Caenorhabditis elegans: one gene and its partners. The protein of the gene in region 1 purifies or fractionates together with the protein of each later gene. This does not show direct contact. Each region holds a gene or a part of one and is shown on either strand. Other genes may lie near its edges. The genes, in order: F58F12.1, nuo-6, F29B9.11 and mpc-1.

Region 1 (8,155 bases):
GAATATATTGATACGAAAACAAATATTTCGATTTTCAGGATAACTTAAACGTTTTGAGAGTTGAATTTAAGATTTATACAGTATTTCAAGTTCGGGCAAGAGATTCTATCAAATTGCCTATAAATAAAAGAGTACATTTTATATTAGTTGTTTGCAAGAGTTTTGGAAAACACAGTACTCGAGAAGTGATAAAAATATTTCAAAATGAAGGGATGTTTCGCAATTTTCTCACAATCAGATTGTTCCTTTTTTATAGAAGTTGAAGAATTTATTTTTTAAGTTGCAGCATACGAAGAAGAAATAATACAACAAAGCATAGGCCAGTGAGAGCATAGAAAAAGAAGAAAACTAATACAGTAGTCCTTAAAAGTGCATATTTCTTCGGGATGCATAAATATGAAAAAAAAAAAGATTTCAGGAGGGGAATAAAAATGTAATCTAGCAATAATATTACTCTGGAGCTAAATTTGCGATTTTTGAGCCAGGAATACGATCTCCGGTCTCGGCACGACAAATTCTAACAAGTGTGCGCCATTAAGGAGTACTGTAGCTTCAAACTTTCGTTGCTTTGGAATTTGCACCGGTTATTTGCAAAAACTAAAATTAAAATCAAAGAGCATAAATTTTCAGATTTTATGGAAATTAATAGAATTAAATTAACACCACCGAAAGTTTTAAACTACAGTACTCTTTAAAGGCGCACACCACATTCTTGCATTAACGAAAATGTGTCGTGTCGAGACCAGGTACCGTACTTTTGGTTTTAAATTCTGAAAGTTTCGCGTCTGGGTAATAAAACAGTTCAGGCCAAAAGTTAACCGAATTTCAAAGTTTTTTCATCATCCTACTGTACTTATTTAGACGATTTCTAAACTTTCTTGAGGAGTACACTTGACATATTTTGTAAATTTCTTGCAACAAGGATTTCAAACAAAAATTAAAATAAAATAGAAAAATCTAGAAGGGCGCCAAATCATATAAGCCATAGGTAACAACATAAACACAACGTTGGCAAGCAGTGAAAGCGAAAAGTGGTTTCCAGCAATTTAGTCATCCCCTTCCCGGGCGGTTCTCGAATGACAGCAACGAAATATTATGATGGAATGAGAGACTTATACGTATATTACCTTGTCAAAAAGTGTTGGAAATATGAGAGAAAGGATAAAGTAAAAGAAGAAGAAGACAGAAAAAGAGTTTTGATGATTGAGTGGAAAAGGAAAGGTCTTCCGGAAATCTGTGCGTTGACGGTGTGTTGACCACCGAACAAACGATGCCAATCAGTCCGAAGACATATCTTTTCTTCTTTTTCGTCTCTTCAATTCCTGAATTCTTTTTCTCAATTAACGGAAACCGACATAATTGTACATGTACACAGATATGGAATCGAATCCATTCTCACTATTCCGAACACTTTCTAACGAAGAATTTTATTGAGTGTGGCGACGGATCTATAAGATTATGTGACATTGGTATTTGGAATAGGCTAAACATTTTTAGAATACTTTTTATTTGAAGTTCTTAGAAACCAAATCAATTTTGCGAAGGTTTGAATAAATAAAGCTCCAATTTTAATAAAAGAAGTTTGATATTCAAACTAATATTAGCTATTTACTAAAAATGGTGGAAAATTGGTGAATAATTATTTTGATTCAGAAAAGTGTTCATATGATTTTTGAAGTTTGTTGTCTATCCTCCCATCGTGTCTGTAAATGGCATTTAAAGTGGGTTTGTCGATAAAAAAGACAATTCCAATTTGTATCTCAACTTTCATCACTTTGAAAAAGCCGAATCCTCCTTGGGTTTCCTCTTCAAATGTTGCAGATTCTTCTGAATGGCATCATCACTTACGATTTTTTTCGTTCAATTTCGCTTTTTGAACAACCATTTTCGATTAGCGCATGAATTGAATCGAACCCGAGGTTTCCGTTTTTTGGTAAACATAAGGAAATACTAATTCTATTTCATTTTAGGGTACGTATTGCTGTAGATTGTAATTGTTTTAAACTCATGGAATTGGTATTCCAGTTTACATACATTTTCAGAATTTTCTCTTGTTTGATATAATTACTTGGATGAAGGATCGAATGTTCATTTCTACTATAAATATCACTAAATCAGAAAATTGGAAAAATAAAAGTCAAAAACTAAAAGTCTCGAAATTTATTGGAAACGATGGAACAATGAAAACAAAAAAAGGGAGGGCCGTACATAATATCCTATAAGCAGCATCGAGAGAAATTGACGATGTGCCTAGGATCAAATTAAAAAGGAATTTACCAAAGTTAAAGGGTCTACTCTCAACATACTCCTTATTGCTGGTTCGTGGCGGCCTTGATCAATGCTTCAGCAACCTGAAAAATTCCCTTGTTTTGAAACAAAACTTAAAGACATATTCATTTCAGAGAACTACTTTTATGACCCTCAACTTTATGTCCTGGTCTCAGTTTTAGTATCGAAGCACAGAATCATTTTGATAATAAAAATATTACGAAATGCTTAACTTTGCTGAAACCAAACGATATTCGTTTCTTGTATTTTTTTTTGGTTTTTAAAACTTTTTCGAACACTTACTTCAGCGCGAATTTGAGCTTCAGCACGAGCAACCTCGCTTCCTTCTCCGGAGGCTCTTTGGGCAGCATCAAGCTCGGCGCGGGCAGCAGACTCATCAATTTCTTCAACTTTCAGGACCTCCTCAGCAAGAACTTGGCATGATCCATCGATGTTCACGGAGAGGGTTCCCGAAGAGACGAAAAGGCGTTGAACTGTTCCTGAAAAATTCTTTGGTGATAATACAATTTATTTTTGCAAAATAAACCTTCATTTGTGGTGACAGAGACAACTCCTGGTTTCAAAACTCCAATGGTTGGGACGTGATTGGCAAGAACACCAACCATACCGGCCAAAGTTGGCACATCAACCTGCTTGACGACAGCATTGCTGAAGACAGCCTGTAAATTGATTTTCAAATAATGTTTTCAAATAATATTTACTCACGGTGTCTGGGGAGGCGAAAGTGAGACGAAGCTCCTCTGGGTTGGCGTTGGCAGCTGGAGCGGCAGCGGCGTATCCGCGCTTGGCAACAACCGAGAATCTTTGGATAGTACGAGCCAACATCTTACCCTCTGAAATGATAACATTGTTTGATTGATTTTTAGAAGGTCAATATGTGTATTAAGAATTATAAATGAAAAAATCGGAGGAATAGATTGTATTTGGGGAACAAACAATAGTAAAAATCGTAGACATATAGTCGAATACTTTTTTCAATTTTTAATAACGAAAATTAACTGAAAAAACTTCCCAAAACAGTTGAAAACAGAGATTTTTTGTTAAAAAAAGGTGAATAAAAATCGAGATCGCCCGTCGTCCAACGGAGCGTGTTTGCATCCCCTAATGGCTAGTCCGCGGCCATCGGGAAAAACTAGGCCATCTTGGCGAAGGTTAAAAAATGCCTGAAGATTTAATGAAACGTATGTTAAATATGAAACAGCGAATGTAATTGGAGATTTTCAACTAAGAAGCGTAGAATTTTTGATATTTATTGAAATGTAGCTAATTGGAATAATTTTTGAAATTATAGAACTATTACAATAGAGAAAACATATTTTTTAAATAAACTTTATTTGAAGACGTATCTAAACAGCAATAGAGTACACTATTGAAGCTACTGATTGAAAAAATCTTAACCATTAAAGTAGATTGCTCCTTTCTCGAATTGTACGCAGGGAAGAATATATGGAAATTTTTGAAAATTGTATACATGATTTGTAGGTTTCACTTAACTTACTATATTATTCACTACATTGCGTAGCATTTCGATACACTTTGCAAAATACGACTCATTTGAACATTTGAATAAGCCACGTGACTTTTTACGTGTTTCCTTCACCTGAAGCAGAACATGTGTGTTGGTGCGTTTTCTGCTGAATTGACTGAAACTTATCAAATATTTGAAGTTTGTTGCAACTGCGTGTCATTTCATAGTAATAGTAAAGAAATGTGATAATCCGGTTATCAATTGAGTAGAAACATGCGGGAAATGTATGATTTATGGTTCTTCTCAGTTTTCAGTTTTTATAAGTGATTGCAAAATACAGTACATACTGTAGATGTTATTGAAAGTTTGGCTTCTGGACAGAGAGGTCGCATGCTCATCAAGTGGATACCGGGAAACAGTAATAATATATCATCCCTCATTCTGCCCAACGAAAATTTATTTTAAACTACATAATAACCTTTTTGTGCAGTGAGTAAGTAGATCGACAACATTTTGATATCTCTAAAATAAAAAGAAGCTTCAAAATCATGAAACCGTGGAGAAAAAGTTTGCAACTGAAGATAAAAGATCATCATGACTAACTTTTGTGAACTTTCTGTTTAGGCTTGTGTCCGGAACTAAATAAATTCACCTGAAATCACGAATTCGCCATTAGATATTTAACATTCTATTAGAATCCTATTAAAGAAACACACACAGTTGTTTGGTCATTGTAACTAGACACATAGTCAATGATAAAGTTTGTGGTTAGGGTTAACACTCCTAATGCAGGTTATCATGTGAAAATATTACTGTAGCTACTTTTAAAGTTTGTGCATGCAGAGAAGTTAGGGATTGGATTTTTAAGACCTGCCTTTTAAAAACTATGCATCCAAAACAACAGATAATTCCGGTTTGGAGTGAGCAGCCATTCTTCTACAAGTTTCGGAGAGAGAGACGCAACCTTTAGGTAGGTAAAAAATTTTCTCAATACTATTGTAAGCATTCCACTTGTAATAAATTTCACCTAAATTGCTGATTAGGGTGAAAAATTATCAGCCTTTCTGTGGTACTGTAACTGTAAATGTTACGTTTTCAGTAAACTCAAGAGTTGTATTTTATTTCAGGATCTGCCGGAAGTTTTGAGTTTTCTAACTGTAAAAAGCCTACAAATTTCTGTGAATCAAGCTTGTCCCAGCTGATTTCTTTTAGCCATATCATGGTTAGTTTTGTAATTATTGTATTTTAATAACTCAATTCTTGTATATTGTATACAAACTTAAAACATATTAAAAATAAATTCACTCGAGATTCAAAATTATCACAAAAATCAAAATAAATGTACAATTGAACATGAAACAAAATAAATGAGATCCCATTAAAATATTGCAAATCATCGCGAAACAATTGAAATAGATGACCAACCAGCGGAATGAGAAAAATATCAAAAAATGTACAGACAAATATATATATACAATTCCTTTTGTAAGGGACAAGGAAATATAACGTGCTTATAAAAAAACAAATAAATAAATAATGAACTCTAGAATTGGAGCTATACCTTTCGAAAATTTCCAAAATATTATATTTACACTTTCCTAAGAATGTACAAGGAAAATATATCTTATGATGTTGTAGCCATGTAGTCATGTAGACACGTGACTAATGATAAGTGGATATCATTTAGTGATCCTTTTCTTGAATTGACCATACCGATTGTGTTCCGGTGTTGATATTTTGATGAGTTGAAGTCTTTGCATTCTTTGCACAGAGAATAATGTTGAATGTTTATGAAGATCCATTGATGTTGCTTCTCCATAAAAATATACTGGATGATGAATCATTGTTGAGTTTAAAAAGTAGGTCACTTTCAGACGAATGAAATTTCAGAGAGAAGAGCACCAAGAAGTCGGTGGCTGACTGACCGGAGAGGACATGTCGTTGACTTTTCGTTCCGACACTCCGCCTCTTTTCGGAACAAGGTCACGCCCCTATCAGTTTGCAAGAGGTAAGGAATGGAGACGAAGAGAAAATGGAAAAATGGGTTTATGCATAATTTTGAGATGATAGAGAAATCGAGAAACCTGAAGTTTAAACCACACAGAAAGAAAATGAATGAATTTATGAATCAGAGAGAAACACTGTGGCAGATAAAGAATATAAATAAATGGAGAGAAAGAATGTGTAAGAAAAAAGAATGCAGGTTTCAAGGGACAAAACAAGAAATGAAAAACGACAACACAACAACACAAATAATTGTGAAGTTAATCAAGGTTACGGTAGGTAGAAAGGTATGAGCTAAAATCGACATTTTCCAACTGAACTGTAACTCCAGAACAACCTCGAAATCGTTCCACGACTTGCAATACTGAAATTATCAAAAATAGCATTGTGTAGAAAACTAAGTTTTAAACATAAAAGTTCTTGGCTATGTTCAACCCGAAAAAAATAACTTGACTTAAAAGCTAGCTGGGAAGAGCTGGACAATTTATCCTAAGTTTGACCAAAACTTTTCTTGGCACACCAAATTTGTTGGAAACTTCTTTTAAAATATTTTTCTCCAAAAACGTACCATATTTGCTTTTTGAGCCAACTTTCTATCCCTTTTCTGAACAATGTTATGACAGGTTTGGTAATTGGCTGAGTAGCGACTCTCTTAATTCAAACAGTGATAGGGAGTTTTGCCAATTTTGCTATGATTTTGATTTTGAAAATTTTGCAGTCTACAGAATTTAATTTGGGTAATCATCTTTATCCAAATTTGTTAAAACTAATCTAATTTCTGAAATATTCCGATCTGAAAAGGTCGAGTCGCTACTCAGCCACCGTATCCCACCACAATTCTTCAAAACTTTTTTGAAAATTTATCTTTAAAATCTAAACTGATTTTCCTTTTAGGCTGATTTTATTCATAAATCTAACAGCGTTATGACAGTTGTGGTAATTAGCGACAGCGACTCACAGTAGCGACTCACAATCAGCTTAACCCTTGTGATACGATTTTGCTTCGATTTTGAAAACTTTCTTGCATTTTGTATGATCTTAATATGAAATTAGAAAGCACGTACCTGATGTCAAAGTAAACTTCAATCTTTATTTATTTATTTCCAGTGTGCGAACATCAAGCATCGGAGTTCTAGGTAGTCAGGTAGGTAGAAAGGCTTAAAGGTGTCGAAGATAGGTTTACCTACTCAGACAGTCACTATACAGTGAATAATCTTCAGAATGTCAAACTATCATATTTCTTGCTGATTTTTTTACGGGCATGGTAATTTTGAAAATGTAAGCAAAAAGTTCCAGCGCTCCGGGGGCAGCAACAAGGCTGACGAAGGAAGTTTTCGTGGATGTTATATTTATAATCAGAGTGAAGATCCCTCAATCAGAATTCGCTCATCCGTATCAACAATAACCGTAACTGGAAGAGGGTCCACGTGTTTGATTTTTCTGTTAATTAAAAGATAAGGCGTTCCATTTTCTGACTGATCTAGATCAAAGTCCATTTATTTAACTTCCTTCTGATCGGTCACGTTGTCAAATCCAAAAACAATAGTTCATGCCGTCCAATCCTCATACCAACCCAAATCTACCTTTTCTATTTTTTTCTTTATTTTCTTTTTTCCTGTTATCAATCATATCTTCTTTTTGTCCAAAAATGATGATTTAATATGGGCAAGATGAAACTAATCAAAAATCGCTGTTTTATTTCACGAACTTCAAGATATATGAAGATATTGTCGAGTTTCCGTTTTTTGACATTCTCTTCAATCTCACACATGACAGTCGCGAAAAAGTGCATACTATCATTGATTGATAACTGGCATGATTCTCTTGAAATGCTACACTATTTCATTTTTGTGTTATAAACATTACAGATCTCACGCTCATTCGATGCTTAATCCTCAAGAAAAATGGTGTGACTTCGTGACATTTCGTTTGGATTGATAATCTGTGATCGAAATAAACTCGAATAAAATATCTTGTTATAAAATTATCTTAATTTGTTGGTCAAAGTTTTAGAGTGGTATCAAATTAGATATTATTCAGAAATGAATTAATCTTGTATTACAACCGGATATTCACTCTATGACACATCTACGTGCACCCTTCTGGCTCAAACATTTGCAAGTGAAAGGTCGATGTAATTCGATCATAAGATTATAGCAAAAGGTCGGAATCTACCAGAGGTCTTCCAGTCAAAGATTCGTTTTTCTGAATCATTCATGAGAATGTTTTAGATTTGCAACGATGAAGTTGGTGACCTTTAAAGTGCTCTGTATCCAAATATCACGAAAAAACGTTGTAATCAGGTTGCAGGAGTTCTCACGACATTTTTCGCATTTCAAATTCTAAATGTTAGATTTAAAATTTTGAAGACTCCTGGGAATTTTTTTAAATTAA
Region 2 (7,945 bases), on another chromosome or scaffold:
AGGGCAGTTCAACGAAAACTTTCCACTTCTTTTGATCTATTATATTGCAGGTATCAAAATCAGGATTTAAGGGAAATGTGTTCTGTGCTTCCGATATACTGAGCGTTCATGGATTAAGAAGACAATATTGAGAAGGAATCAGCTAGATTTTCCGATATCAAAATTTCAGACCAAACAAAAATTGAAAAAAAAATCGTAATTCCATTAATATACTTCTTGTAGATCTTATATATAGGTAGGAATAAAGACCAACTTATGTGCCTTTAAGCAGGCGTAACTCGCTTTCTTGGCGTTTGGGGGCAACTTACTGCACAACATCAATTACTTTCTACCTTCAGCCTGACAACTTATTAAAAGCTGATCAAATAAATTGGTAGTCCTGGCAAGAAACGGCCAACCAAAAATGTTTAACACGAATTTTTCAAATTTGGCAAAAGCTTTCACTCAACTTCTAAGCTTACATCACCGTATAGAAAGATATCACACGGACTGGTTAGGTCTTTTTCAAGCCGTTTAGGCGAGTAGGCAGGTATTTTGTGCCTACAGTGCGTGCAACTTCTATAGAACCCCCTAAATTTTCGAGTTTCAGCATGTTCTGATATTTTTCAAGAAAATTTGTTAATGTCAATCGATTCTAAATGCCAAAAAACCTACTGTCCAAAATTTTTAGAAAAATATATGCAAAACTACGAGAATTAGGCCAAAAAGTCGTAAAAACGACCGTGCAACTTCTATAGAACCCCTCAGAATTTTGATTTTAATCGCAAAAAGCACTGAATTTGTTTAAATTTTTCAAAATAATTTTGTAAAACAATAACATCAAAATGATCTAAATACTTAGTTCGTTCATTAAAAACATGAAAAATGCTACGTGGAAATATATATATATATATATATATATATATTGGGATGCACTCTCAATGGTCCTGTAACACTTTTTTGTGTGTTAGTGACCAGTGCTCCGCTCCCAGTAGATGTTTTTGCACAAAAACATACCAAAATGTTTTACCATATTCATAGATCATTGTCATAGAAATTTGTTTAATTCTGAAAAGTTTCCTCTGTTTTATGGCAGAAACAATTCATTGAGATAATCTGACTTATTATTCATTGGGGGTAAGTGCTCTATGGGATCCCTTTAATCGACGATTAACCTTCAAACCTCAAAAAAAAAAAACAAGAAAATCACAAAGCTTTTCCTATCTTCACAAAGCTTTTCCTATCTTAAAGGCATAACTGTGTGTGTATATCTGATCTTTGTCCAACTGTATAGATGTGTTTTGTTTCTGAGAACAAAAGTTGTCCATGGACCAAATTTCTATAGAAGTTGCACGCACTGTACTTCTAGATTTTAGGTAGAGTGTGTGATTGAAAGTTATATTCAGCAAAATTATAATCAGTGATCCTTTCCAAAGCTTGGCATTGTTGCTTGAAATCCTGTTCAAGTAGTGTTTGGCAAAAAATTCCCAAAATTTCCGATATGTACTCTATGTTTAATTTTGGGTTTTAAATAAATACGTTGAATTACGCAAGCTGTTACTTCTAAAAAACATTGTATACATTTTAGGGTTGTAGTGAACTTTTATAATATTTGCTCAAAAACTCTGAAACATTAAAATGACGTGCTGGTCTGCTTTTATTCTCGAATTATATGATCAAATCTCTGATTTTCTGGTTAAAAAATTCCCTATTGTATTTTGATAGACTTTTTCTCCTTATTTCATTTTTTCACAGGGTATATGAGATGATGTTCAAAGTGGTTCATAATATCCAGTTAAGAATCAAAATACTTCACTTTCAAATTAAGTGTCCTGGGCTTCTGAATGCAGGTGTTGTCTACATATTATTTCTCAAATCAAAATACTCTGTCATTTCTTACGAGCTTAACCAATTCACCTTTTGTATGGCAGCAGCAGGCGTCATACATTTCCATCTCAATTGACCTATTCTCGAGTCTCGGCTGTCCATGTAATTATCCATTTTCACCGTGAACCCTTCTGTCCATCGTATTTTTTTCCCATCGCTCCTCTCTTTCTCTTCATCTCCACAGTTTGACCTTTACACAGAAACTCTTTTTCCCGAATAATATGTAGTTCTTCTCGTAGTTTTCGGAAGAAGTACCGCCCGCCGCAAGGATTTCTCTTCGTTCCGTCCATCTTAAAAACACGAGCTTAATTGAGAAGCGATCATGTCTTCTTGTCCCGCCCGGGAACGTCATCATGCGTCCCGCCCGTATTCTGGTCGTACTAGTTACCACCTATGCTCCTCCCACATTTGTTTGGTTCCCCAGATGAAGTAGAAGAAGAGCATTTAATTTAGTTTTGAACGTGTGTCGTTACAACTACTTATTCTTGTACTTCCTCAAGATTTTTTTATTATTACAGACAGACACAATGCTTCTGAGGTTAGGATTTCTTTTGGTATGCTCAATGCTAGAGAAAGTGATAGGACAAACGAAAGTGGTCAACTATATTGATAACTCTATAATAGGTAAGTTCAATTTTCATTTTACTGAAATTTTTAAAGTTTTTTAAAATTGAACAGTTTATTCTAACTTGTGATTAATCTACTATTATCCAGAGGCAGAAAACTGCAGTTCACCAGATGAATTTTGTTTTGAATTCTAGAATATATAATATGTGATATTGATCTCTGATCACGGTTTTTGACTCGAAGCTTGCAAAATTATCACTTAAAAGACACTATGACCAGAGTAAATTTTATTAGCCGTTCACAAAAAAAATGGTCTCGGCACGACCGAAACGTCGAAGCTACAGTACCCGCAGTTTCCCAATTCATGTTGCAAACTTTAAACTTTTGGAAAAAATACGTAAAATATTTGGAAATAATGAGTAAACATTGTGGAAAATTGCTGCGGATAGATTCAAAGTTCCGATCGGTTCAAGACCGGGTACCGTATATTTCAAAAAATTCAATTTACAGCAAAACTAATCTGACATATGCAGACAAATTCTCAAAAAGCCGTATGAAATTCGTTAAAAATTTTTTTTGGTCTTACACATTTTAGAAAACAAAAGTTGTAACTTGCCTAGACCGATCTTACACCGGTTTTGTTGTTAAGAAAACATTAATCATTTTCTGCATCTTCAAAACGTGTATGCTACAGTAATATATCCTTTTTAAGCAAAAAATCCACAGGCAGATCAAATAGTTGCGACTACTGACCCCATTCCCTACACTTCGGCCTAAGTAGCGATAATTATATAGAGAGAAAGAGTTCAATGTTCTGAATACAAAAAAAATTATAAAGCGTGCGATAATCCATGTCTACAAGTTTGCAAGTCTCAAAGCAATTACAAGATAAATCCACTAAATCTAACCGCAAAAAAACGACCTTCAAGAACAACAAAAATGAGAATAATGAGGTGCGGAAGTGGTCGTGTAAAGCGTATTAAACAGAGCTCCCCTCTCATTTATTTCTACAGGTACACCCAAGGTAATATGCGCGGAAAATGATCTGGCACTCGACATTGTCACCTCCAAACCATTTCGTGGAAATATTTTTGTAAAGGGACGAGCGAAAGACAAGTCATGTCGACAAAGTTATGCGAACAATGGAACAAACTCATACTCATTGCCGCTTGGAAAATGTGGAATGCAACGGTTACGATCGGTAAATGGACCGAAAACGACAATTTTGTGAGATGTTTTTTTTTATTCAGGCAAATCCTCGAGGCGTCAATTTTATGGTCACAGTCATTGTATCATTCCATCCAGCTGGATTCATCACAAAAAATGATAGGGCATTCCATGTTAAATGTTTCTATATGGAACCAGATGAGATTGTTACTCAGAATATTGATGTTAGGTAGGTAATCGTTTATTTTAATATGCCTCATTTCAACTATTGCGTTCAATAATTATTTTTCAGTTTTTCATTTTGAGTGCAACACTGATAGGAACTGCAAGTTTAATTTTAAATCAGTAATATGTATTAAGAAAAAGATACTGAAGTTTTAACATTTTATTTCAATAATTTTACATTGAGATTCTATACTTTTCAGTGTTTAGTATTTGAGGGTGAAAAATCTTTGAACTCACCAGATAAGATTATCGGAAACTCTTAAATTTTTTTTTCAAGTCTATGTTCTTGCAAATTGCCAAATTGAACTTTTTGCGTATTTCGGAGCATTGATGATATTTGAATTTTCAAACACAAATAATTAAAAAAATAATCAAAAAAATTAATTTTCAGTATGATCCCAACGACTGAACTATCTGACAGTATGGTAATGCCAAAATGCGAGTATTCAGTTCGTCGTGATGGTCCAAATGGTCCAACTTTAACATATGCCAATGTCGGAGATATTGTATTTCATGTATGGGAATGTACACCGGCTGATATGGGAATGCTTGTCAAAAAGTGTTTTGTAACAGATGGAGACGGAGAAGATCATGCTGTTGTTGACTTTGATGGCTGTGCAACTGATCCATTCTTGCTCAGTGAGCTGTCTTACGATGCTTCACTTATGCGAGCTCATGCATCAAGTCAAGTTTTCAAATATGCAGACTCAAATCAATTATATTTCACTTGTCAGATAAGATTGTGTCAGAAACAAATGGGAATGTGCCAGGAAGTTACGGTAATAGAGTTCGAAGATTGTTGAAGCAAATACTTATTTTTGATTTTCAGCCACCAAACTGTGGAGTCAAGAAATTGCTGAGTGAAGCAAGTGGTGATGGAAATCGAACAAAAAGAGAAGCTGATCGGTCTGATTATGAGGTAATCATAGATTGTTTCCGGATTATATATTTTTTTAATCCTCCTAACATGAAAACAATAAAATATTTAGATCGACGTAGCAACATCAGAACTTCTTGTACTTGATCCAGCAGATCGTGGGCTCCTTGCTCCTTCTCCATTCTGTGTTCCACGACTACTTCTTCCAGTTCTTCCCCTTATTCTTATCACAATTGTATCATTAACAGTTGTCTCCACAGCACTAGTGATTCGAAGACAAAATCACAAAAAAGAGCTCGATATAATGCAGTCAGGCAGATATTATTGATTTTCACATTATTATATTATTTTATAAATTACACGTCCCGATTGTACGGTTTCAGCTCCCATTTTTCTCTTAAAAATTCCCTTGAACTCTCTCGAAAGTCAGGCACAAATTTCTCATTCTTTTTCTCTGTGATGTCTGTTCCACACATATTTTTACGGAATCTAATTCATCAGGCATCAATGTTATTTTATATAAATTTACGAGTGTTTACATTAATAAAATCTGAATTTTATTTGACGAGGATAACGACACAGCTAAAAAAAAACAAAAATCGAGAAAAAGTTGCTTACATTCGGATCTAAAAGTAAATTTAAGAAAACAGATAGATCGAGACGATTAGAAGTCGATTCCGATGGTTGGAGCAAAGAGACCGGATCCTCCGGTTTGTAGAGTTCTTCCTTGTTGACGATCCCACCAAAGAAGCTTTCCATCCAAACATGCTTCATTCGACTTGTCCATTGGGACAAACATAAGACGAGTGTAAATGTAGAAGAGAGCGAAAACGGTTCCGACGTACAGGAATACGGTGCGTGGTGTGAAACGGAAGAACTCGGCTTGAGTCATATCAGCAGAATACCAACGGAACATTGCTGGATCCATGGTGACTCCCTCCTTGTACTTGAAGCTATGAGGATCGTATTCACGACGGAGATATTCCTTCTTCAAAATCTCCTTGACACGATATCTGAAAGTAATTTTTTAAAAATAAAATGTAGTTTTTTTATCATAAAGTTGGATATTAAAAACTGAATTTATGTTAATTCAGTGTTTAATATCCAATTTTATCGCAACAGTTTTTTTAAAGCAATTTTTGATTTGATACTCTGTAAATTATATCAAGAAACTGTTTTTTTTTGTCTCTATTGCTAATAAATCACTTGAAATAAGTGTTCATCAACGCAAATGTTATCATATATTGATTTTTCAATAGAATTAAATAATTTTAAATTGAGAATATAATTAAAACTATGTTTCTCACTGTTTTTAGAATTTTTTTAAAAACTTTTAAGCAAAAAGCGTTTTTCGTATTACCTCCACAAAACTGCTTTCTTCTCCTCGTCGCTCAGATTGTATTCATGTCCTGGCAGAAATTCGGTCTTTCCTATACAGAACAATTATTATTTTACAAGTTAACAGTAAATTATGAAAAATAAATCGATAAAATAAAAGTTTTACCGTGAGTCTCAAAATATCCAAGCACTGGATCCTGCCACAGTTTCGGAGATTTAATATTTTGGTTGGCAGCTGGTCGAAGAAGTCTTAATGCCAACTTCATTTTGGTTCAACCTGGAATTAAAATATTAATAAACAAAATCGGAAAACAAGACGGAAATTAAGAAAAATAAAATAAAAAGTTCTGAACAACTGGTTCAAACGACACTCCGATATTTCGCAACAGCGCCTTGTTTATCGTAAATCTACATCACATTTCAAAGCGAAAGGAATTTTCCTCAATTCAATTTTCTTCAATTCTTTCCTAAATCGAGGCCATAATTATTTTTTTTCGCACATTAAACTTAACTTAAAACTCAAATTTTAGCCATGGAAACCGACGGCGATCCCACAAATGAAATTCCCGGTAGCTCTATGGCTTTTGAAGTCGCAAACCATACTGTAACCGAAGAACCATCACCACTGGACAGAGTCAGTTTTCTAATAAAATAAACTATTTAAAAATGTAAAATTTTGTAGATTCTCGCAGAAGGTCGCAGCTTCAATGGTGGCAATTGGTCCAGTGACGACTTGAGAAGTTTATTGGATGGAGTGATGAAGTATGGTACCAAAATTGAAGCCATAAACTATATTCACCGAAACATTGTAAAAAAACGATCTATCGAAGAGATAAAGTAAGTTTTTAAAATATATGTTCAACATTTAATCATTATTCTTTTTCAGGGCGAAAATTGACGAGATTCGAGAGATTATCAAGGAACACAAAGAGATTATTCTCCCTGAGTGTTACAAAAATAAATGGATCGAAGCAGGACATCATAATATCACTCCTCCACCATTTTGCCAAGTGGATCCAAATGACGACTGGAGCAGTATCATGGGAAAAATAGTCGATCATCATCATGGATCAATCAACAAGACCCTACCTTCTCTTAGAGATACTTATGAGGTTTTATATTTTATTAGTCAGCAATTGAAAAATGCTCAAATTTTCAGACACTCTTCGAGAATCTCGCTCTAGAATCTAAAACTCACGAAAATGCGGTGGTGACCAAACTTCTCACCGCAAAAGCTACAAGAACTGACTCTCAAAATATAAGATGGCCAGTCATTTACAGATTCATGAAAGCATGTGCCACATTGGAAGAGCAAATGCCAGCGCTCAATGAACTTGGTCAGTAAACCCAGAATAATTCTAACTCTGAGGGAACTTAACCAGCGCTACAGTTTTATTTTCAGAAGCGGCAGTTGTCTCCAAAGTACTAGACACTATCGAAACCGAAGCTACGACAACTCCAGATACTGAGAAATCTATTCTTGCCGGTATTTTCAGTGAATGTCAACAAGGCAATTACCGCTTCTGTGAGCAAGACTATCCTCCGAACGTTATGGCGGCAGTTCAACTGTTCGTGGATCCACTCCGTACCCGTTTTCATGCGATCCCTGAAGTTGCATCTGAAGTCGAATTAATCAACTTTACGAAGGACAACCAGCCATCTACATCGTCCAATTGAAATTTTTATTAATTTTTTGTTATATCCTGTCATATCATCCGGTCGTTTCACTGGTATTTAATACATTGTTATTAAGTTTATTGATTTCAAGTCTAACAAAGACAAAAATGGTAGAAACCCGCTTCTTGACAAGTTCGTCGTCGTCCAAAGACACGTGTTGATTTGTTTGTTATAGCTGTCTGAATCGAGGAGATCTACTGTCTGCTGATGTTCCGTTTGTAGTTGGTT
Region 3 (7,440 bases), on another chromosome or scaffold:
AATAAACGAAAGTTTGAAACTACAGTACTCTTTAAAGGCGCGCACCTTTTTGCATTTAACGAAATGTTGTCGTGTTGAGACCAGGTACCGTATTATTACGACAAAATCGGTTAATTTCGCGTCAGGTTAATAGAAGTTTCAGTTTTTTTAGCAGTAAATTATTTAATTTTCACCTAATAATACGATATATATAAATTTATACTCAAGTTGAATGTGCGATTTAAATTTTCAGTCTAAAAAAGTACAAAAAGTACTGTTATCCACGTTCTCCACGGTCATTTGTATATTATACTACAGTCTAAAAATCCTCTGTAAAACTTACTACAATGAGCCGGAAGATCGGAACGCTTCTGACGAACGGTGGCCGAGTTGCTGACGAGGAGCTCTGACTTGAATTTCTTGTCATTCAAGAACACCACCTCATTCCAAGCATCATCAGTTCGTCCCTGTCCCTCTTTGAAGCTCAACAAGGAATCATCCAAAAATTGATTGATATCCTCACACACCGAAGCGGCAAAAAATGCACAAAACGAGATGCACGCAACGCTCACCAGGACACTTGTCCAGGTGGCAATCGCCGCGTTGTCTACAGTCATAGTTCTAGACGACGAAAATGGAAAGAAATGGCAAAGTGACGGTGGACGATGTCTTTATAGAACGAAGATGGGGGAAAGTACAAGAAGCTAAATCTAAAACCGGTTTGTGTGGTTGCATGTATGGATAACGAGGTGTGGAAGCAGTTTGGCATGTTCGATGGCGGTTTTGGATGACAGCGAGATGGAGGAAGAACAGTTGCGCAATGAAACGAAAAAGGATATATTGGATTCGTATATCAAAGGGGAACACGAGAAGGGATTAATCCAATTTATTATGGAAGCGCAGAAAAATGCGCATTATTGAGGTCGAGGTGCAAGCGCGCTCCAGGTGAAAACGCTCCGCCCCTAAACGTTGGGTCTCGTTAGGTGTTGGCGGCAAAATAAAAAAAACAAACGTTTCAAGTTATTATTTTTTAATGTCCAAATTGATTATATACAAGCCAAAACCTAACGAGACCCAAAGTCTGGAGGCGGAGCATTTTCATTATGGCGTTGGAGCACGTTTGCACCTCAAATTCAAAAGTCGCATTTTTCTGTATCCCTTTTTCGAATTTTGTTAGGTTGTTGGAAATTCGGCTAGTTTTCTACACAATTACTTGAAATTAATGGGGATATGCAAAAAGGGGATCTGCGAAAAGAGGAGATACGAAAAGGGGAGCTGGCACTGTGCCAAACGCACAAACCGCTTTTTTATTCTCATTCAGCGCACGACTTTTTTTTTGTATTTTTCGCTAAACAACGCGCGATGCGTAATAACGGAGTGTGGTTATAACAAAGTCGTGCGTTGGATGAGAATAAAAAAGCGTTTTGTGCGTTTGGCACAGTGCCAGCTCCCCTTTTCGTATATCCCTTTTCGCAGATCCCATTTTTGCAGATCCCCTTTTCGTTCTGCTCCCCTTTTCGTGGGGCCTCAAATTAATCACGTGTAACAGCCACATTAACTGAGATCGTGGCGAGACCCGCAGCGTGTGCCTTTAATGTGGTATCAGGTCTCGAAACGAATAAAAATGCGCCTTTAAGAAGTACAGTAGTTTCAACTTTAGTTATTTTCTATGCGTTTTCTTATTTATAAATTATTGTCGAAACTTGTCACTGTATTTTTGACTAAAAACCGCAAAAATTCATTGATCAGGTTTTTCCATGTTTGGCTTCCCTTGCAATCCATACCTTAATCCTTAAACCTCATTTCTCTCGAACGGAGCTAGGAACAAGGGAAAACCTTTTCTCGGGGGAGCGCAGCGACCCGAGAATGGGATGTTTTCCCGTGACAGCGGAGTGAGAGAGACAGTAGCAAACTAAAGGCGCAGGCATTTTCCTCCGGCACGGGTCTCGCCGCGACAAGCGCCCCGCGGGCGCTGCGGCGCCTGTTTCTCCTCATTCTACGTGTGCAATCCTTAAAATCCATACCGACGATCCTCAACTTTTTACATTAAAACCAATATCCTTGTTTCTAAATTCTCAATTAATTTACACTTTTATTGCTGTAAAACAAAACAAAACAAAAAACTCAAAACAACTATTTTCTGAGATCGAAATTAGGACGTCACTTGTCCGGGATGCTTGTCGGGACGATTTTTTCGAACGAGAAATTTCATTTTCCGGTTCATGTCCTCGTTGAAAATCGCCGTTGATGCTTCCATCGACAGTGTTTTTCGTTGCATGTAGGGCTTCTGATAGAATTGAGTGCGGCGAATGATTTTCAGCATTCCTTCTGAATCCATCAATCTGAAATTATTTCAATCTTGAAATTATGTTCTGGGAATTTTTCCAAAGAAAACCTGTTAAGAAGTCCGAAAGCTCCATCGACATCATTGTTCTGCACCATTACTGTTCGAGTTGCGAATCTTGGATGTGAATTCCAAATTCCTTTGAAAAGTTTAATCGCGAACGGCTGAGAAATCGTTCCTCTCCAGGTGAATTGACGTACCATCTTTAAAACAATTATCAAAAAAATTCTAAATGAAAAACCGAATCGAACATTTATCTTTCATGGATGGATAAACCACATTTGACAGCGAATAAAATTGAGAAAAAGCGAAGAGAAAACAAGAATCGATTTATTGTTGTTCTCAAAAGTCTACACAATGGCTCGTGGCATAATATTACTTCTACTGTCTGCGGGCGGCAACACGGGCGTCAATCTCTTCTTGGACTTCTGGGGAGAGAGCATTATCCGGTCTTGGGCGAAGACTATCAAGTCTGAAGAGGACGGAAGTTGGGTATGCCATGAAAGCGACGCAGATGAGTCCGTAAAGGGCAACCTGAAAAAATTGGTGTTATAGTGAATAATATGGATATCTGGATAAATATGTTTTTGAGCAGCTAAATTAAAAGTGAGACAAATTTCAAAACTGTATCTTTTAGTTCAGAAATTAATTTTTCAAATCCATTCAAACGAATGTACAAACTGAAATTTAGTTTTTTTTGGTGAGCTAGTGGTATTTTAAGTTTTACTGCTCACAAGGATAAGTTCAAGACATTTAGCAAATAAAAAATTACCTTCTCGCTGACAGAGGTGAAACGGAGTGGTGGGGTCGAGTCAACTCCCTTGTGAAGCGAGCGACGGATGACATGTTGGCTTCTAGCCAAGGAGAGCACAGCACGGTTCAGCATCCTGCAATAAATCGTTTAAATTTACAGAGTAATTGAGCAAGCATGATAATCCATAGAAAACGAAACAGAGAATACGATTCAGGCGGTTATAAAAACAGAAACTATACGAAAATCGTTAATTCTACACAATGAATCAAAAAATTATTTGATTTTGCTAATGGATGAAGCTTGAAAGCTGAAAAATAGTAAAAATCTGCTTAAAAAATAATCGGCAGGCTGTGAGAGGTTAAAGGCGCAGAGACGGCTGACGGAAAACAAAAACAATCGTTGCGAGACCAGCCGCTTGGCTACGTGCCAAGTGTGAGAATACGGAAGGTGAGAAAGACGGAGACACTGCGAAGCGAGTGAACGGTGAATGCGAGACACCAAAACCCGGAAGTGGACAGGCAGAAATTGATTTTCTCGTTAAAAATTTTTTGTATTCAGAATTGCAATCAATTCAACTAATCAATATTGATATTTTCATCTTAAAGTTTATCTACTAATTAGTATTTAATCCCACAAACTCGTAAATTTCATCGCGACTCACGTTCCCCCGTTTCGCAGTGTCTCTTGTTTCGCATGCTGCGTCTCGTTTCTCTTCTTCTTCACATCTCCTCGAGGCTTACAGTTTTTTCAGCATATATTTCAGTTTTCCATCATTTTTCTGGAGTTTTTTATTGAAAAATGTTGTAACAGAAATAAATTTAAACATTTCGAAGCTATTTTCATGTTATTTTGTCCGTTGTTTCCCTTTCAATCGACTATTCGTTGAAGTTTTCGAGTTTTCCGTTAAAAATCGTTGTTTTCCAGAATCTACACATTCCAAATGGATGGTAATGATATAAATATACAAAAAAACGAGTTTTCTCGAGACCAATCAGCACTTCTAATGATGGATCAGCATTCCGACCATAAGAATCACGAATCGGCAATCGGCGAGCCAGGAATGTCATACACAGCCTCTCAACCGGCTCTTTCCTCTACTGAGCATCAAACGCCATTAGTTTCTGTACGATTTTTTATTTTTCTGCGATTATTCAATGATATTGATTACAGGAAGCAAGCGTCGCAGCTCCTCAAAATCATTTGAATGGCAATTCCCATGAATCGGTTTCCGAAATGGATAGAGTAAGTGTTTTATTCATTTAAAATTTTAAAAAAAGTCTCATCTCAGAATTCGGTTGATTTTGCGATAGAATCAGTGCTCATGAAAGTGAGTGTAACCTCCGATTTCACTGAACTTCCTCCATTTCTCAACGTAATTTTCCAGGCGAGAGCTTACAACAAGATGGGCGCTCCAAAAGATCCGAGGAGAAAGCAGCACAATCCGAAGAGCGAGCCTAAAATCGAGCCACATGTGACAGATTCATCGGATAATCAGGCTGCAATGAGCAACAAGATGGAAGCGGAAGCGCCGAAGATGGAGTCAAATCAGAACTACGTCAGCAACGGATCTGAGGTATGGTTTATTCTGAAATGTGGAAGATTATTTTCATTCAAAAAAAATTTATTTATAAATTTATAAATTTTTGAAAAAATTCAAATTTCCCGTGGCAATATCATACTGAACTTTTAAATGAAGAAAAAAAATTAATTGATAAATATCATCAAATTTTATTCCAGCCTCCATTCCGTTTCGTTTCAATTTCGAATTTCGACGAAATGAAAACAAAAAAGAAAGAAGTTCAAGAAGAATTGAAGCTTGAGGTGGACTCGGACAGTGAAGAAGATGATGTCCCAGAGCAGAAAACTCCAAAGGAATCGGATCGATGTGGAGGATGCGGAAAATTTACTCATGAAGATGATCTAATTGCTCTTGAAGAGGAAAAGAAGAAGGAAAAGGAAAAGCCACTGATGAGCAAGAAGAAATCTCACCATCACAAGAAAAATGACTTCCAATGGATTGGCTGTGACTCTTGCCAAACCTGGTACCATTTTCTGTGCTCAGGCCTCGAGCAATTTGAGTATTACCTGTATGAGAAATTTTTCTGCCCCAAATGCGTTCCACATACCGGACATAGCATTCGTAAGTTTTTTCATCGAATAGCTTGCAATTAAATATATTTATTTATTATTTTAGGATACAAAGTCGTCGCCCCACATCGTTATCGCTGGTACAGTCCGAACGAGAAGCATCTCGGAATTGAAGTTGGCTCAAAAACTTGGATTGAGGATTTCATCACCAGAGAAAATACTGTTCCCTCACCGTAAGGGAATTTTCATTAAAAGATGACTTGGTTGTTATTTGTGAAGACTCGAAATACGCCAAAATGAACGAAGACTTCACAAAAATTTCAAGAAAAAGAGTTAATCTCAGCTGAAAACTCCCATTTTTGCCGTTTTCTCACATTTTTCGTTTATTTGGTACATTCTGAGCTGTCAGTTTACTAAAATTGGCCTTTTTTGATTACCTATTGGCTTCAAATGTACATAAATCAACGAAAAAACTTGAATTTATCACCTATAATAATGTTTTTCGTTCATTCCGGCACATTTTGAGTCTAAACAAGCAAAAAACCCAGACCTCCCTTAAAGATTATTTAAAATTAAATTTGTATTCTTTAGAACCGACGATGAGGTTTGCATTGTCGAAGATGGCTACGAATTCCGCAGAGAATTCGAAAAACTCGGAGGAGCTGACAACTGGGGAAAAGTTTTTATGGTCAAAGACATGGACGGCCTCAATATGACAATGCCGAAGCCTGGATTCGATTTGGAGGATGTTGTGAAAATTATGGGATCGGATTATGAAGTGGACACGATCGATGTCTATAATCAGAGCACCTATTCGATGAAGCTTGATACGTTCAGAAAACTTTTTCGCGACACTAAAAACAGACCACTCTTGTACAATTTTCTGTCCCTTGAATTCTCGGACAATAATGAGTGAGTTTATTAACTGAAAACAATTGAAAAATTAATTAATTAACATTTCCAGGATGAAAGAAATCGCTAAGCCGCCAAGATTTGTCCAGGAAATCTCAATGGTCAACCGCCTGTGGCCTGATGTCAGTGGAGCGGAGTACATTAAACTCCTCCAGAGAGAAGAATATCTTCCAGAAGATCAGCGACCAAAAGTGGAACAGTTTTGTCTCGCAGGAATGGCTGGATCTTATACGGATTTCCACGTGGACTTTGGTGGTAGTAGCGTCTACTATCACATTTTGAAGGTATAATTATTGAAGGAATATAAATGGTTCCGCGGATTGTGAACGTTCTGACCCCGCCAAAATGTTCTCAAATTAACGAATTTCGTTTGAAACTTCTGAAAAAATTCTCAATATTTTTTTGGTTTTTTTGGAGGTTCAAAATTAAAAAAAAAAGACTAAATTTGGCTAAAATCTCCTATTTTCCGAGATTTTAAAAGCATTTTTGAGAAGCCTCATCACGAAATTCGTTGATTTGAGCACATTTAGGATCGTAATGTTCGAAATACCCTTCTTTCAACTGAAATTGGTTTTCTCAAAGCTTATTAACTCTATTTTCAGGGCGAGAAAATCTTCTACATCGCCGCGCCAACGGAGCAGAACTTTGCAGCTTATCAAGCACACGAGACATCTCCGGACACCACTACATGGTTCGGTGACATTGCCAACGGAGCTGTTAAGCGAGTTGTGATCAAGGAAGGTCAGACACTGCTCATCCCGGCTGGTTGGATTCACGCGGTTCTCACTCCAGTCGATTCGCTCGTTTTTGGAGGAAACTTCTTGCATTTGGGAAATCTTGAGATGCAAATGCGCGTGTACCATCTCGAAAACGCGATTCGTAAGGAAATTAGAAGCGAGGAGAAGTTCTACTTTCCGAATTTCGAACTTCTTCATTGGATGTACATGCGAAACGTCTTGCTTGAGAAGATTACAGGTAAGCAATTTACTAGTTTGTATAGCGGTTTTACTAATATTCGCTACATTTCAGAAGCCAATCAGGAAGGTTCTGACATGCGTGAGCAGGAGAAGAATATTTGGACGGCGTCACAAATCATGAAGGCCGAAATGGAGCGCTGGATGGATCGAGAGTTGAGATTGGGTCCCGAGAAGAACGCGATCCTGCCCACTGACGACAAGAATAAGATTATGATCTCGGTGAGGAAGCAGATTGAGATTCAGACGAAGATTCAGAATGCCAAGAATAAGCCGATGGGGTTGAAGCAGAAACGTAAAAGTCGAGAATCCGCGGAGCGGGATGATGAGGACTATTGCCCGTCCAGCTCGACTGCCTACAAGAAGAAGTATACGAAAAAGGCTAAGAA
Region 4 (8,371 bases), on another chromosome or scaffold:
TTAGTCTGAAATTCTTAAAATCCATAATGGAAAAAGGGAAACATCGCAAAAAAAGAAGAAAAATCTCGTTTGTAGGAGTGCGATTTTTCGTTCTTTGGCAATTTTTTCGTGTTTTCTTTGTGGTTTTTCAGGATGGATTTGAGGCGATTTTGAATTTTTTACAGCGGAGTCCTCACCGAAACTTTTCAAAAATGTTTTATGGCGGTATTTAACAAATTTCGTCAACTTTTCCGTGCCGGAATTTTTTTGGGTTGTTTTTTCTGTGTTTCAAAGTTGTTCGTCTAGCGTTTTTTCGTGGATTTAAGAACATTTAGAGATCAAATCTGGTCCAAATGTACCTAAATTCCCAAAAAAAAATTAGATAAATATCGATTCCCAGACGCTTTGGCAAAATTCGGTTTGTGTTTTCAATAAAAAAAATTAGTTTTGAAGATTCTCGTGCTAAAATTCGGTCTTTTTGGGCCATTTTGAGTCCAAGAAACCAAGATTTTTATCGATTAATCCTCCTTTAACCAAATAATCAATTCCTTCAAAAAAAATTAATTTTTCCAGGCGGCGAGTCGTCGGAAGCCCAATTCGACCGCGAGCAAGCTTCAAAGGTGGCTCCAGCGTACGAATTTTCGAATGAAGATGCTCTTGTCAAACAACTGACCCCATTAACTGGAACTCATGGAATAGGATATCAAGGTCTTCGTAAGACTACTGTACTTAATGAGTCATACGGTAGAACAACTTTGGCTTTGAAATCCGGAAAGAAAAATAGCAAAGGAATAAAAGGACAAGCATTCGGAGTTGGAGCATTTGAAGAAGAAGATGAAAGTGTTTATTCGAATTATGATCTCTCGCAATTTGATTTTTCATTGGATGTAGCTGGAGCATCAGAAGAGAGTAATTTGAAAACACAGAAATTGGTTACTGCATTTGAATTACAGCCAAAGAGGCTTAATCCAAGAAAATTCTATGCTCCTCCAAGAGTTCCGCCGAATTTTCGAGGCGATCATCGTCCGATTCCAATGGATATCTCGAAACTTCCACAAATGATGAAGAATGATGTAAAACATATGAATGCGGAGCAAAGAGCAAAGTATGATTTAAATTAACAATAATTCATATTTTTTCGCTTTTTTTTGTTTTCCGAAATTTGCTAAAGTTTGAGTTTACGGGTTTTTAAAACGTAAATCGATTCAGCTTTTTCCGAGAATTTTGACCTGAAAATTATTTGGAACATTTTTTTGGCCATTCTCATCATTAAATTTCGGTCAATTTTAGAATATTTTTGTTGAACTTTATTTATTTCAGATTCCTTGGTGAAGATCGCGTGAATGCACTTGAAATTGGAGGCAAAAGTTCCAAAAAACCGACAGAACGAAGAAGTCGATGGGATATCAAGGCAAATGAAGTCGAAAAACGTGATAATGAGCGTGGTGGTGGTGAAGCAGAAGAAGATCGGGATCGACGACAACGGAATCGAATTGAATTCCCTGATGAGCCTATGCGACAAGCTCGATTTAAAGAGTTTCTTCATTATATTCGACGTGGTCTACCGTACCCTCAGCCCACTGATCTGACTGTCTGGGAGTGGGAGTGGGAAAAGAAAGAATTCGAGTCAAAATTGACATCTGACGAACGGGGAATGCTTCCAGAAGTACAATCCAGGGCTCAGCCACTTGCAAAAACTGCCATAGCAGCGCCGATTCATGAAATGATGGCTTCGAAATTTGTGAAAGAAGCTGGCGGTGATTTGAAAGTTGGAACGAAGGATGAGGATAAATTAGCCGCTGTGAAAATGGAAATGTTTGGAGAAAAAACGAGGCAAAGCTTTGATTGGTATGTTTCTAAATTGAGAATCATCTAAAACGACCGAATTTCATAATGAGATTTCTCAAAAAACAATTTCGAAAAAAGGCAAAAAAATGTATGTGCTGCAACAAGATCAAGATGACGAATATTCGGATTTTACAATATTTGGCTCTTTTTTTAGAAATTTTCTGAGAATTCTTATTATGAAATTTTTTTGTTTAGGGCTAGTTTTAGCCATTTAGTCCCTTTGAAAAATGTAGAAATTTTTAAATTTTCAGGTATCCTGACAATCTTCTCGCTAAACGATTCAATGTTCCCCATCCATATCCTGGATCAGACACTGTCGGAGTTCCAGCTCTTCAGAAGACTGATTGGAAGCGGAAAGATCGATTAGCAGATATTGGTGGAGTCTCGGCAACGTTGGGACTTCCGAACACTGCAAATGAAATTGAAATGAGGGAGCGACTTCTGAAATCGAGAGCTCAGAGAGGAGCAGAAGAGAAAAAAAGAAATCAATCAGATGATGACGATGAGAAAGAATATGATGATAAGGATTCTGATGAAGAAGAGGAAAATGAAGCCGAGCCTAACAATCAGAAGGTAGACAAAGCTCCAAAATCGTTTTTTGATTTCATTTTTGGAGATGGAGACGGTGCAGACTCAGATGAGAGTAATAGTGAAGATGAAGAAGCTGAAGAGAAGGAACGGCAAGAGATTCTGAAAAAAAGAGAAGAGGATTTGAAAAGAAGAAGGGAAATAGTTGAGAAGAAAGAGGAGGAGAACAGAAAACGAGTGGAAAAAGAATTAAAAGAATTAGAAAATAGGGATTTGCTGAGAGTTTCAAAGCAACAGGAAGATGATGATATTCAGATTATTGATGAAACTTCTGCATCTTCATTTGGTCCAGCTCTTCCTCCATCTTCAAAACCAGTTCTTTCAAAAACGGAAGTACTGAAACTTTTAGAAAAGAATATGAAGAAAAAGAAAAAGGATAAGAAGGAGAAGGAAAAGAAGAAGAAATCGAAAAAATCAAAAAAGAGCAAGAAAGAAAAGAAGACAAAGAGGAAACATTCTTCGTCTAGTGCCGACGATTCCGGTGATAATTCCGATGGATGGGAGGAGAAGAAATAATCTGAATTAAACATTTTGTTAATTTTTTTTATTTATTTATTTATTATCATATATTACTATGGTTTCGACTTGTAAAAATGAAACATAAAATTTCTCAAAGTGATGTCTGAACTATCCTTCTCCTCCCGTGTGGCTATTTGTCCCCAGTTAAATTGTCTGCATCTCTCGTTCTCTATTTCTCTCGCTTTCTATTCTCTCAAGGATTGTGAGGTTTGGTTCCTGCGAACTCGTGCACTGAGGTCACATTTTTCGAGCAGAAATGAGTTTTCAATTTCAATTTTTCAAAGATTTTAGTTTTTCAGATGCTTTCTCTGTTAAAAATTAGTACAATTTGTTTTCCATTTTTTCAGTCTGCAAATATTAACCGGCACCTTTAGAAACATTTTTTGAATTGCATTTGAAAAACCTTTTTTAATTTGAAAAATTAGAAAAATTAATTAGAAAAAAAACCCAACAAATTTTAATGCTGAAAAACTACAATTTCTAGTTTTTTTGTAGTTTTCAGCAGTAAACGCATTGGTTTTTTACATGAAATACTATAAATGTGGGATAAATTGGTAAATTAATGTTTTATACATAAAACAATTAGCGAAAATGGTTAAAAATCAAGTTTATTGGCTAAAAACAAAGCTATCCGCGATAAATTAATGCACACAGTTTTCCTCGAGGAGTACACGAGCTTCGTAAATCGACACGTTGTCTTGCCACGAAGATTTTGTTGAGTGGGATTAGGTGTGCGCCTTTAAAGAGTACTGTATTCTCAAACTTTTGTTTTTTGAGTTTTAAAAAATGTTTCATTGTTTTCTCAAATCCAACAAATAATGAGATCTCATTATTTCTTCGAATTTTTCTGTTTTTATTGTTTTACCTCAATTTTTAATTTGAAAACATATTTTTATCGAAAAGCTATGAAAAGCCGATTCATTCAACAGAAATTAGTCGTGTCGAGACCCGGTATAGTATTTTTGGAGCAAAAGTCTCATAATTTAACGGCCATGCTTCAATTTTTTTTTGAATTTAAAACCTAAAGACAATTTCTGAAAAATCAAAATTAAACCTTCTAATGGAACCAAAAAGATCAATATCATCTTTTAGCCACTGACAAAAACAATTATTTATTTTCGTTCTCTCATCCATTTTTCTCTAATTCTCTACAGAGGGTTTTCCTTATTTTATCATCATTGAACAAAAATACTGATTTGATTGCTTATCACTTTTTGTTCCTTATCAAACCCAAATATATATCGGACGTTTTTTCTTGATTTCTCACGCGATTTCAGCGAAATGAACATTTTCGAACATATTTTTAAAAAGCTTAAAACCTAAAAATTCATATTTCCAGATGTCTCGAGTTATATCAAAAGTGACGACATATTTCAAGCAACATTCCACCGCCGAATGGAAGCATTACTTCTTGTCAACTCATTTTTGGGGACCAGTGGCTAACTGGGGACTTCCGTTGGCTGCTCTTGGAGATTTGAAGGTAACTGCATTTTTTAGAGACAAGTTAGGGTGAAAAAACGTTACTTTTGTATTGGGTGTTTAAAAATTGAAAAGCGCTTTTAATCCATAGCCAGATTTGGTTTTTTTAATAAGTGCTGAAAATGTGTGTGCCTTTAAAAAGAACAGTAGTCGTAATTATGTTTTCTTGCTTTTCTAAATTTTGCAGGTTAATCAATTTTTTTCACATGAAATAAAATATATTTTCCCAAAAATTTAACAAAAAAAACTAGCAATAAAGGAATAAAAAACTGTACACCTTAAAGGCGCACACTCTGTTTTGCAAATTTTATTTTTAGTTGTGAATTTTCTGCTGAGACCTGAAAATAGCAACTTTAGTACTACTATAATTTGTCAACCTTTTCAAAAAAAGCATGCAATTTTTGAGAAACTCTTATAAAAGCTATTATTAAAAAAACACCTTTTTTCCAAAATTATTCCACAAAAAATATGTTATGAAATGCCTACACCCTCTCACACACACTCTTTATACTACTCTGTCAAACTCACGAGATGTCTGCCGCCTCTTGTGTCCCCCCTATATAAACACCTCCTATTGCGAGATGTCTTGTTCTTCCGAGAACATATACTAAAATTGGAACAATACAGAGAAGATTAGCATGGCCCCTGCGCAAGGATGACACGCAAATTCGTGAAGCGTTCCAAATTTTTTGTGAAATTTTCTATAATTTTTTTTGCAGAAAAATCCTGACATGATCAGTGGACCAATGACGTCAGCTCTTCTGATCTACTCGAGTGTTTTCATGAGATTCGCGTGGCACGTTCAACCACGAAATCTTTTGCTCTTCGCTTGCCATTTTGCCAACTTCAGTGCTCAAGGAGCTCAGGTATACTCCATAACAGCAGCTCCAGTTGATAATTTTTAATTTTTTCAGCTCGGTCGATTTGTGAACCACAACTATCTGCACTACGTTGAAGATCCCGTCCACCATAAATTGATGATGAAAAAGGAGGTTTTGGAGCACGAACACGATGCGGAAGTGATCAGCAAGGCACATTGAGCAATTTGATTAAATATATAATTTTTAGCGGGTTTCGCTCTTTTTATGGTATCCTTTTTTCGAATTTCTAGGGAATTTTAGAAAGAATAAGTTAAATAAAAATAAATTTATGATATGAACTGAAAATGTAAAGCAAAAATAGGTGTTCGAAGAAAACCGTAACTAGCGACTCGACTAGATGTCAACATTCACAGGGAGAATCATTATTTTAATGGAGCTTCAACTTCGGATTCATCCACTTTTTGAGAATCGTCAAATGGATTTTTGAGATTTTTGAGATCGATGGCAGTTCCTTCTGCACGATTTTTCAGCGAAATCAGCACATCTGCAGGGATTTCTGGAATATCCGGAGTGATTGGAGGAGGTGCGGCAAGATCGACGTCTTCATCATATTCACCACTTCGATCGAATGGATCAGAGTCCTAAAACATTTTTTTATGCGAGTACAGTGGACGATTCCAACTAACATGTCCTCCGCGTGTCTCATTCAATGTCACTTCAGCCATAGAATCTTCGTACAAGTCTGTACTTGACAGCTCATCATCGACTTCTTCTTCTTCTGGTTCACCTGCTTGAGCATCTTTTTCCATTGAAATAAGCTGTAAAATACGAATTTCTTCAAGTCTTGTTTGAAGATTTTCATAAGTAAACTCGATAAAATCGAGGAAAATTGAAAAATTGATGAAAAATAGTTAAAAATCTAACCGTGCGGCGAAATTTCGTGATTTTCAAATCAAATTCTATTTTCTTTCATTTTATCGAGTTTAGTTATCGAAATACTGCAAAAAATAATTCATTTAAGCTGATTCCATTTTTGAAAAATTACAATTTTCAGATACATAACCGGCGTTTCTCACCAATCTTTTTAATAATAAACATTTAAAAAAATGCAAAATTTATTAGAACAACACAAACAAGAAAAACAACAAATTGCGAACAAGAGAAATAACGAGGAAAAAAATTAAAGGAAATCTTGCTTGGCGACAAATTCCTTCGCATAACCATCATCAGCGATCTGGCAACTCGCGGAGCAAGTGTACACGTACACGGAAGCCCAGTCGATAGATTGACCAATAGCATCTACATCGATGAGCGACAAGAGATGTGGCATAAGCTGCATTTCGAAACGACGAGGAGCTCCACAAAGTTCACATGGTTCCACAACTTCTGGCAATTCAGAAAGGCCAGTTGCACGGAGTGGCTGTCCGTATCTCTTGTATCTAATAATCTGATCGGGTTGCAAATTGACAAGACGGTTGAATTTATCAAAATCGATATCTTTTGGTTGCTCGGCGGTGGCTTCATCCAAATCTTCCTTTGTCATGTCAGCGTTTTTCTGAAAAAGGAATTGAGAAATTTAATTGTTTTTTCCGGCGTCAAACTAACCCCTTTGTTCTCCTTGACAAATTTCTCAAATTCTCTGATTCTTGCTTTCTTCTCCTCTTCAGTCTCATCCTCATCATTTCCTTCTTCCTCTTCCTCATCGCCTTCATCATCACTAAGTCCGTCAAACAGATTTGCTGGCATATATTCCTGATCAATTTCTACACCGAATTCTTTGAAACAAAACGCATTTCTTGGATTTTTCGGTTCATCCGTTATGGAGCCATCTGTTGCCGCTTTAGCACATTCGAGCTTGTGAGCAGGCCAGTCGATGACTTGATGAGCTTGAGAGCAATATCTGAAATTGTGACATATAAGGTGTGAACAAAATTTACCAGAATTTCGTCTTTCCGGCCAGAAATACTGTAACTGGTCTCGATACGACAAATTTTTGTTAAATGCACAAAAATGTGAGCGCCTTTAAGGGGTACTGTAATTATAAATTTGCTGAATTTTCATAGATTTTCCAAAGTTTTCCGAAGATATTTGTATTAATTTTTTTAAACTTTAACAAAATAATTATATTCGAGAGAAGAAATATTAAAAGTCAATAAAAATTCCGCAGCAAGAAAATTTTGGAATTATAAGCCTAATTAGAGTACTAATTAGAGTAGGCACACGCCTTTTTGCATTTAACGGAGAATTTTTTATTCTGGACGCAACATTTTTCGTATGGGTAACTTCTCTCACCTCGCCACTTGGCACTTGGCACATTTTTTCGCAGCGGAACATCCACAGATTCGACACAATCCGGGTCCATCAGCCGGTGCACGTGGATCAGCAACATCTCCATCCAAATCAGGATCCATTGGTCCATCAAATGAATAATAATCATTGGCACGTGGAAGTTGGCATCGGAAGGCTTTCAGATTTGCGGCATCATTTGTACGAGAGCAGGATGGATTACGGCAAACGAAGAGAAATAGAGAACGATGAAAAGCGTGTGGAGGATCATTTATACCTCCATTTGCTGATACTTGCATCAGGAAACACAGTGGTTTCTCGCAGACCTTAAATTTGGGAAATTATTTGGTGGACGGTTGTAGGAAGTTTTTTGTTGCTAATTTTGAAAAAATTATAATTTCAGCTAAAATTTTTAATTTTGCAAATATTTCCGTATTGCTGTTTTATTTTCCATATTTTTGTAGTAAAATAAAACAATGATCAAATAAAATTAATTTCTGAACGCTGCAATACGGAAAAGTTGGCAAAATTGAAGATTTAGCTAAAATTAGGTCAGTTTCAAAGTTCTGTTATAAAAAACCTACGTTGCACAACAAATCTGCGGATTTTGGAAGATTTTTTGGATTCAACCATGACGGTTTTCCTCCTATTTTTCCGAGTGGAAGAAATTGCGAACGTAGACGATACAGATCATCTGGCTCGAATTGAACTCCGAATCCCAAGTTTACTGGTTCATCTGAAAACGAGCTATTTTCATGCTGCAAACAAGATAAAGAGAACGGGCAGGAGACTTAGTGTGTATTTTCTTAAATTTATTGGTTAAGTCCGACTTGAAGAAATTTGTCAAAGAA

Evidence for each region.
Region 2: the proteins of F58F12.1 (region 1) and nuo-6 fractionate together in Caenorhabditis elegans (co-fractionation; one large-scale study listed by BioGRID). This does not show direct contact.
Region 3: the proteins of F58F12.1 (region 1) and F29B9.11 fractionate together in Caenorhabditis elegans (co-fractionation; one large-scale study listed by BioGRID). This does not show direct contact.
Region 4: the proteins of F58F12.1 (region 1) and mpc-1 fractionate together in Caenorhabditis elegans (co-fractionation; one large-scale study listed by BioGRID). This does not show direct contact.

The regions. Positions count from the first base shown.
Region 1 is NC_003280.10:6,378,612-6,386,766, reverse strand, and holds F58F12.1 (ATP synthase subunit delta, mitochondrial), read right to left. Parts: upstream 3,123-8,155; 5' UTR 3,115-3,122; coding exon 2,995-3,114; intron 2,949-2,994; coding exon 2,816-2,948; intron 2,769-2,815; coding exon 2,572-2,768; intron 2,352-2,571; coding exon 2,310-2,351; 3' UTR 2,075-2,309; downstream 1-2,074. UniProt on the Caenorhabditis elegans protein: Mitochondrial membrane ATP synthase (F(1)F(0) ATP synthase or Complex V) produces ATP from ADP in the presence of a proton gradient across the membrane which is generated by electron transport complexes of the respiratory chain.
Region 2 is NC_003279.8:7,062,870-7,070,814, forward strand, and holds nuo-6 (NADH dehydrogenase [ubiquinone] 1 beta subcomplex subunit 4), read right to left. Parts: upstream 6,318-7,945; 5' UTR 6,307-6,317; coding exon 6,207-6,306; intron 6,133-6,206; coding exon 6,063-6,132; intron 5,716-6,062; coding exon 5,367-5,715; 3' UTR 5,247-5,366; downstream 1-5,246. Other genes in the region: cutl-6 (ZP domain-containing protein), read left to right, coding at 2,394-2,490, 3,447-3,634, 3,684-3,829, 4,217-4,604, 4,655-4,744, 4,815-5,030; tofu-5 (Twenty One u-rna (21U-RNA) biogenesis Fouled Up), read left to right, coding at 6,573-6,674, 6,723-6,877, 6,927-7,152, 7,200-7,377, 7,443-7,717; W01A8.6 (Peptidase M14 domain-containing protein), read right to left, coding at 7,887-7,945.
Region 3 is NC_003282.8:4,656,992-4,664,431, forward strand, and holds F29B9.11 (Cytochrome c oxidase polypeptide VIIc), read right to left. Parts: upstream 3,211-7,440; 5' UTR 3,210-3,210; coding exon 3,096-3,209; intron 2,858-3,095; coding exon 2,705-2,857; 3' UTR 2,640-2,704; downstream 1-2,639. Other genes in the region: col-111 (Nematode cuticle collagen N-terminal domain-containing protein), read right to left, coding at 323-596; mrps-21 (Mitochondrial Ribosomal Protein, Small), read right to left, coding at 2,132-2,321, 2,375-2,526; jmjd-1.2 (JmjC domain-containing protein), read left to right, coding at 4,018-4,200, 4,248-4,319, 4,366-4,650, 4,815-5,217, 5,272-5,398, 5,757-6,077, 6,130-6,361, 6,680-7,052 and 1 more.
Region 4 is NC_003281.10:4,409,184-4,417,554, forward strand, and holds mpc-1 (putative mitochondrial pyruvate carrier 1), read left to right. Parts: upstream 1-4,273; coding exon 4,274-4,414; intron 4,415-5,001; exon of another isoform or gene 5,002-5,103; intron 5,104-5,132; coding exon 5,133-5,279; intron 5,280-5,327; coding exon 5,328-5,453; 3' UTR 5,454-5,565; downstream 5,566-8,371. Other genes in the region: gpch-1 (G patch domain-containing protein 1 homolog), read left to right, coding at 553-1,084, 1,300-1,827, 2,079-2,931; R07E5.11 (Intraflagellar transport protein 46 homolog), read right to left, coding at 5,657-5,875, 5,921-6,043; pdcd-2 (MYND-type domain-containing protein), read right to left, coding at 6,415-6,789, 6,840-7,134, 7,527-7,846, 8,105-8,256.